Linked DNA regions of Macaca fascicularis. The protein of the gene in region 2 binds, or shares a complex with, the protein of the main gene of each other region. Links are inferred from orthologs where the notes say so. Each region holds a gene or a part of one and is shown on either strand. Other genes may lie near its edges.

Region 1 (3,302 bases), on a different chromosome or scaffold from region 2:
GCCAGGATGGTCTCGATCTCCTGACCTCGTGATCCGCCCGTCTCGGCCTCCCAAAGTGCTGGGATTACAGGCTTGAGCCACCGCGCCCGGCCAGGACTCTTTTGAGACAGGGTCTCACTCTGTCACCCAGGCTGGAGTTCAGTGGTACGATCATGGCTTACTGCAGCCTCTACCTCTTGGGCTCAAGCAATCCTCCTGCTTCAGCCTCCTGAGTAGCTGGGACAACAGATGAGCACAACCATGCCCAGCTAATTTTTATTTTTTGCAGAGACAGGATTGCTATGTTGCCCAGGCTGGTCTCAAACCTCTGGGTTCAAACAATCCCCCTGCCTTAGCCTCCCAAAATGCTGAGATTACAGGAATGAGTCACTGCACCCAGCCCAGGACTATTTGTTCTCATATTCCTCCTCATACCTAGTTTACTATCTGGCATGTAGATGCTCAGTGAATGATTGATTTGGGTAGTTTTGGTTCTTTATACGGACCTTCAGGTTAGCCCCAATGCACTGGCATGGAGCTAGTTACCTGAGCAGGTCTTCACAAAGGTCTGAGGTTAGTAGCAGGTGATAAAAGGGGTTGTGGAGTCTGGACTCCTAACTTAAGAGGTGGAGATGCTAAAAGAGAAACAAAGGCAGCAGAGTTGCTGAAGGTAGGGACTATGGCATTTATTAACCCTGTGTTTTCCCCCTCACTGGTCACTGCTCTTGACTCGTAGAACAACAGGTACAGAACTGCAAGGGATCATCCCCAGCTCTGTGATCACCAGATCCACAAGCTCTGGGGGAGTCACATCATAGACTAGATTCAACAACCGTAGGGACGCGTGGTTCTGCCAGTTAGCCAGTGCGACATGTTCTCCCCGTTTACACTGCAGATCATCAGGGTCATCTGCAATGGAAGGTGTACCCATTACGTTCTTTTAGAAAAGAATTTCTAGTTTATCTGCCCCTCTCTCACTCTCAAGTCTTCACAGGTAGCTGGAGGCTTCTCTTTTGCCCTACTTACCTAGCTCATTAGAGACAAAGGCATCAGTCTGCACACGCTCACAGAACTTGTATGTTTCACAGCAAACCAGCACTGGTACATTATGGGCTCGAGCCACCAGGGCTAACTGTGCTGTCCCTACCCGTGACATCACAGACCCGTTGGCCAAGAGTGCATGAGCTCCCAATAGCACCTTGGAAACCTGTTTGTTTCACAGGAGAAGGGGAAGAGAAAAAATGTCATTGTTGTATCAATGCAGAATAAAGTCCCCTACTTACAGGACAGCAACATTAAGACAAGTAATAAATCTCAACATGGCCGGGCGCGGTGGCTCAAGCCTGTAATCCCAGCACTTTGGGAGACTGAGACGGTGGATCACGAGGTCAGGAGATCGAGACCATCCTGGCTAACACGGTGAAACCCCGTCTCTACTAAAAAAATACAAAAAACTAGCTGGGCGAGGTGGCAGGCGCCTGTAGTCCCAGTTACTCGGGAGGCTGAGGTGGGAGAATGGCATAAACCCGGGAGGCGGAGCTTGCAGTGAGCCGAGATCGCGCCACTGCACTCCAGCCTGGGCGACAGAGCAAGATGCCATCACAAAAAAAAAAAAAAAAAAAAAATCTCAACACCTGTGAAAAGAAGGGAAGGAAACAAAAACAAAGAGACAAGTAATAAATCTTTTTGTTTTTTGAGACCAAGTTTCACTCTTGTTGCCCAGGCTGGAGTGCAGTGGCACGATCTCGGCTCACCACAACCTCCGCCTCCTGGGTTCAAGTGATTCTCCTGCCTCAGCCTCCACAGTAGCTGGGATTACAGGCACACACCACCACTCCCAGCTGATTTTTTGTTTTTTCAGTAGAGACGGGGTTTCTCCACGTTGGTCAGGCTGGTCTCAAACTCCCAGCCTCAGATGATTTGCCTGCCTCGGACTCCCAAAGAGATAGGATTACAGGCGTGACCCACTGGGCCTGGCAAGTAATAAATCTTAATCATGGCTTTTCTTCTGTGAAAACATCTTAATGATGGCTCTTCCTCTGTAAAAACACCTGACCACTGACCCATCAAATCTCCCACAGGAAAACTAAACTTTGAAGTTACTTTTGTCTTGTTCCCTCTTCCTGGTTGCTAGTTTAATGTAATGTTTTTGCAATAGCTAGACTGCTGTAACATACTGTCAGTGTTTTTCCAATTAAATATAAACAGGGCTATGTAATTTTTTGTCTTGACACAGGGTTTCACTCTGTCGCCCAGGCTGGAGTGCAGTGGTGCAATCACAGCTCACTGCAGTTCCCGGGCTCAAGCAATCCTCCCATCTCAGCCTCCTAAGTAGCTGGAACTACATGCGCATGCACCATGCCCAGCTAATTTTGTATGTTTGTGTGTGTATGTGTGTGTGGAGACAGGGTCTCATTATGTTGAGCAGGCTGGTCTTGAACTCCTGGGCTCAAGTGATCCTCCTGCGTTGGACCCCCAAAGTGCTGAGATTGCAGGCGTGAGCCATGGCGCCAAGCCAGGACTATATAATTCTAATACTTTTAAATAATTGTGGCTGGGCACAGTGGCTCATGCCTATAATCCCAGTACTTTGGGAGGCCGAGACAGGGGAATTGCTTGAGCCCAGGAGTTCCAGCCTGGGCAACATAGCAATATCCCATCCCTACAAGAAGAATAAAAACTAGCTGGGCGTGGTGGTGCACACCAGTAGTCCCAGCTACTCAGAGGCGCAGGTGGGAAGATCACCTGAGCCCAGGAGGTCAAGACTGCAGTGAGCTGTGATCACGCCACTGCACTCCATCCTTATCTCAAAACAAAAACAAAACTAACTTTGAGAAGGTGAGATTACATCTATACTACTACACTTTTTTACCTCCAACTTTGGAGTCCTTTTCCTCTGTACTCACCTCTGGGAGCACATAGGAGGCTGCAGGAATCAGCAGGTAGGAGGCTGGGACACCAGCACGGACTAGAGAATGTAGCGTGTGCCTTCCTTCCAGCCGTGGCCGGCTGTCCACCACTACCACCCGAAATCGCCGGCCCTCTGTCCAAGCCTCCTGAAGAATTCGTGATACCAGAGATGAGCTAGAGGGAATGAAGAGGAGGATTCAGTTATAAATGTCAGTAACTGATGACTAACTTATTCCCAACTTATTCCCAAAGGCAAATGGGTAGTCCCTTCTTCAGATCATTCCAACTCCCCAGTTTGCTCAGTCACAGGGTCTGGACCATACCATCCATATACCAGGATCACATCTCCATTACTGATCTTCTGGTAAGCAAAGCGTGAAATTGCCTGAGCTGCAAGCACAATCTTCTCTTTC
Region 2 (3,653 bases):
ATTCAGGAGCAAGCAGATAATTAACATGCAGTAACAACATCTATTTAGCACATTACAGTTTACAAAGGGCTTTTATATACATTGTTTCATTAATCCTCATAATTTACAAATAAACAGGCTCAACAAGATTTTCTTGCCCAAGGTCATTGGCAATAATGGTGGGACCTGAATCTGGGTTTTCTGATTGTAAGTCCAGTGTTCTTTTTAGTCTACCATAACTGCCTGGTTGGCCTCTTGGTAACTCATTTTGGTTGCAGTAATGTGATGCTTCTAATAGTACTTCCCCTTTCCAAGAACAACAGTAAGGCTCAGATTCTAGGGGCTGAGTGTGGTGGCTCATGCTTATAATCCCAGCCATGGTGGGAAGATCGCTTGAGCCCAGGAGTTCAAGACCAGCCTGGGCAACATGGCGACACCCCTTCTCTGCAAATGATACAAAAATTAGCCAGGCGTGATGGCACGTGCCTGTAGTCTCAGCTCTCCGGGAGGCTGAGGCAGGAGGATTACCTGAGCCCAGAGGTCGAGGGTGCAGTGAGTCATGATCATACTACTGCACTCCAACCTGGGTGACAGAGTGAGACCATGTCTCAAAAGAAAAAAAAGACTTGGATTCTAAAATGTACCAGAAGAGGTGGAATTATTTGGTTCTGCTTGTAGACATAGATATGATTCTAATAAGGTTTTTTAGTTCAGAGGGTCCCCAGAAATCCTGAAGGTTCTCGGGTTCTTAAGCACTGTATATAGTCTATAACTGTTGTAAACTTGATGAAGTATCTTCTCTTCTCAGGCTTGGGCTTAGAGGGTGAGTGGGTGTTTCTGGTGACTTGTGGGATGGGGAATGAGAGTTAGGTGGGAGCTGTGCTGGTGTCAGTCAGCCCTGTCCTTTATGAAGGGCTCTGCTCTGCAGTTGGTACCCTTAGTGACCCAGAGGCCTTCCCATCCTGAGCCAGGTGATAACGTGGTGCTGGACCAGACCTACCTGTGGCAGGGTGTTCGAGTGGCTACTGGAGCACAGATCCATCAGTCTCTGCTTTGTGACAATGCTGAGGTCAAGGAACGAGTGACACTGAAACCACGCTGTGTCCTCACTTCCCAGGTAAGACCTGATGTGTACTGTGCACGGGCCCCAAATTGAGTGGCAGTCACATTGAGCCAGAAGGGACATTATTTCCACCCATAATCCTGTCTGAGTTGAGAGAACAAATCCGGTGGTTTCATTTACCGTCTAGGCTTAGTTTAAAAAAAAAGAAAAAAGTTGCTCTCATTATCAGGATGCGCTTTTCCTCCACACACTAATGGTTCTGTGTTTTTTTCCCCTAGGTGGTTGTGGGCCCAAATATCATGCTGCCTGAGGGCTCGGTAATCTCTTTGCACCCTCCAGATGCAGAGGAAGATGAAGATGATGGGGAGTTCAGTGATGATTCTGGGACTGACCAAGAAAAGGAGAAAGTGAAGATGAAAGGTGTGAGATTCGACAGGTGTGGGGCATCTGTGTGTCTCGCTGCCTCATAGAAGAACCAGTGTTTCCTCCTGGAGGGATTAGTGTTTCCGCTGGGCCCTCTATAGATCATTGCCTTTTCCAGGTTACAATCCAGCAGAAGTAGGAGTTGCTGGCAAGGGCTACCTCTGGAAAGCTGCAGGCATGAACATAGAGGAAGAGGAGGAACTGCAGCAGAATCTGTGGGGTGAGCTAGGCCTGATGCCTGCCCTCCTACTGAATCGGAATATTTTGAAGGATAATGAATACTTCAGAGTCGCATTACTTATTCACTCCTTTATTTATGCAGACAGGGCAGGTATATTGCTCTCTGTCTATGGCTCTTTTTTTTCTTTTTCCTCACCCATTATGGCTTCTCAGGACTCAAGATCAACATGGAAGAAGAGAGTGAAAGTGAAAGTGAGCAAAGTATGGATTCTGAGGAGCCGGACAGCCGGGGAGGCTCCCCTCAGATGGATGACATCAAAGGTGAGTGGCCAGGGGAGAAATGCGCTGGACTGGTTTATTCTCTGCCTGGATCAACTAGCCAGAGGCTTGTGTTCCTCAGAAAGGGTTTGGTATCAAGTCAAGACTGGATGACTTAGAGCATTTTGGAATGATGTTGGCCCATGAACTTACTCTTGCTTTGATTCCAGTGTTCCAGAATGAAGTTCTAGGAACACTACAGCGGGGCAAAGAGGAGAACATTTCTTGTGACAATCTCGTCCTGGAAATCAATTCTCTCAAGTAAGAGCAGCCCCTCCCTGTTCTCCTCGGGGTGATCCCAGGAAAGTAGAGGCTTTCTCGTAAGCGTTTCTTCTCCAAATAGGAATGTATTCCTTTGAAATCCCAAATGGAAAGACCAGTAGTATTTGGAGCAAGGAGAGCACTATTAAGTTCTAGCCTCAGCATAGACTTTCTCCTTCCTAAACCCTCCCCTTCCATATTCCATCCAAATTCCTCTTCAATGTCTGTCAGTGTCATAGTTCTAAGCCTGCTGAAAGGCCAGTGAAGGCCCTGGTGTCACCCCAGTCTCCCCACAGGTATGCCTATAACATAAGTCTAAAGGAGGTGATGCAGGTACTGAGCCACGTGGTCCTGGAGTTCCCCCTGCAACAGATGGATTCCCCACTTGACTCAAGCCGCTACTGTGCCCTGCTGCTTCCTGTGAGCAAAAATCGGAGCTGAGTACAAGGGATTGGGTAGAGGCAGATACACATCCTTGCTGTACTTGACTTTAAAGGAAATCAGGAGTAGACTAGCCTGTTATATTGGGTATATGACTTCTGGTTCCTTTCTCCTTGCCTCTGGAAGCTGGTTGGGCTCTAGAGCAGCCTTGGCTGGTTCAGAGGGGTCAGGTTGAGTTCAATACTGACTGGCCTTTGAGACTCCAGGATTCATACCATCCTAGGCCCCCAAAGGTATACTCAGAATGGACCTTTACATTCAGACTCTATGGCAGCAATTTGACCCAACACAAGATCAGCCTCTGGGGTGGGAATAGGTATTTTGAGGCAGCCTATAGCATCTGATCCCCTTTCACCTTCCCTAAGGAATCTGTTTTTCCCAAACCCTGTCAACAACTCCCAAGTCCCTCCGACATAATTCCACAGAACCTGTATCATCTCCCTCTTGTCCACCCATGTCATCAATATGGATTTGCTTGGATGTCCAGGTACAGGTGAATGCTCAGGAATATATTGCAGCTCCCTTCTTTCTTCCATAGCTGCTCAAGGCCTGGAGCCCTGTTTTTAGGAACTACATAAAGCGTGCAGCCGACCACTTGGAAGCGTTAGCAGCCATTGAGGACTTCTTCCTAGAGCATGAAGCTCTTGGTATTTCCATGGCCAAGGTGAATATGACCTCAAGCCCCATTCTTCTGCACTTGCTTTCAAATGAGGGTTTGTGACCACTGTGGGAGACATAAAATAGAAGCTAATGTGAATCCAGTATGGACCATCCACTCCCCCAATATCATGCTTATTGCTAGAATAGTACAGCTTGGAGCCGGGCTAGTAAGGTAGCCATCTGGGAGGTGGTCTGGAAATGTGCAAAGCTCTCCTCAGCAATAGTTCCAGAAGTTAGACCTGCCCCAGGAGCAGAGTGAACAGCTCACTCTTGTCCATTTTGGAGGAGGCTACTCAGTGCGTAGAGGGATCTGAGGGCCTGGTAGAGT

Evidence for each region.
Region 1: the proteins of EIF2B5 (region 2) and EIF2B4 are in contact, whole or in part, in a cryo-EM structure (PDB 7D46), measured with the Homo sapiens proteins. The link is inferred for Macaca fascicularis from reciprocal best matches to the Homo sapiens genes EIF2B5 and EIF2B4. Residues at the interface, in NP_003898.2 of Homo sapiens: Arg163, Lys294, Arg339, His340, Glu357; in NP_001029288.1 of Homo sapiens: Arg357, Tyr393, Pro396, Glu397, Lys466, Arg467, Glu469.

The regions. Positions count from the first base shown.
Region 1 is NC_088387.1:94,851,460-94,854,761, reverse strand, and holds the end of EIF2B4 (translation initiation factor eIF2B subunit delta), read right to left. Parts: coding exon 3,213-3,302; intron 3,064-3,212; coding exon 2,886-3,063; intron 1,187-2,885; coding exon 1,006-1,186; intron 889-1,005; coding exon 689-888; 3' UTR 641-688; downstream 1-640. UniProt on the Homo sapiens protein: Acts as a component of the translation initiation factor 2B (eIF2B) complex, which catalyzes the exchange of GDP for GTP on eukaryotic initiation factor 2 (eIF2) gamma subunit.
Region 2 is NC_088376.1:96,059,965-96,063,617, forward strand, and holds part of EIF2B5 (translation initiation factor eIF2B subunit epsilon), read left to right. Parts: intron 1-950; coding exon 951-1,096; intron 1,097-1,320; coding exon 1,321-1,462; exon of another isoform or gene 1,463-1,478; intron 1,479-1,583; coding exon 1,584-1,685; intron 1,686-1,762; exon of another isoform or gene 1,763-1,858; coding exon 1,859-1,966; exon of another isoform or gene 1,967-2,133; coding exon 2,134-2,224; exon of another isoform or gene 2,225-2,520; coding exon 2,521-2,644; exon of another isoform or gene 2,645-3,203; coding exon 3,204-3,329; exon of another isoform or gene 3,330-3,389; intron 3,390-3,653. UniProt on the Homo sapiens protein: Acts as a component of the translation initiation factor 2B (eIF2B) complex, which catalyzes the exchange of GDP for GTP on eukaryotic initiation factor 2 (eIF2) gamma subunit.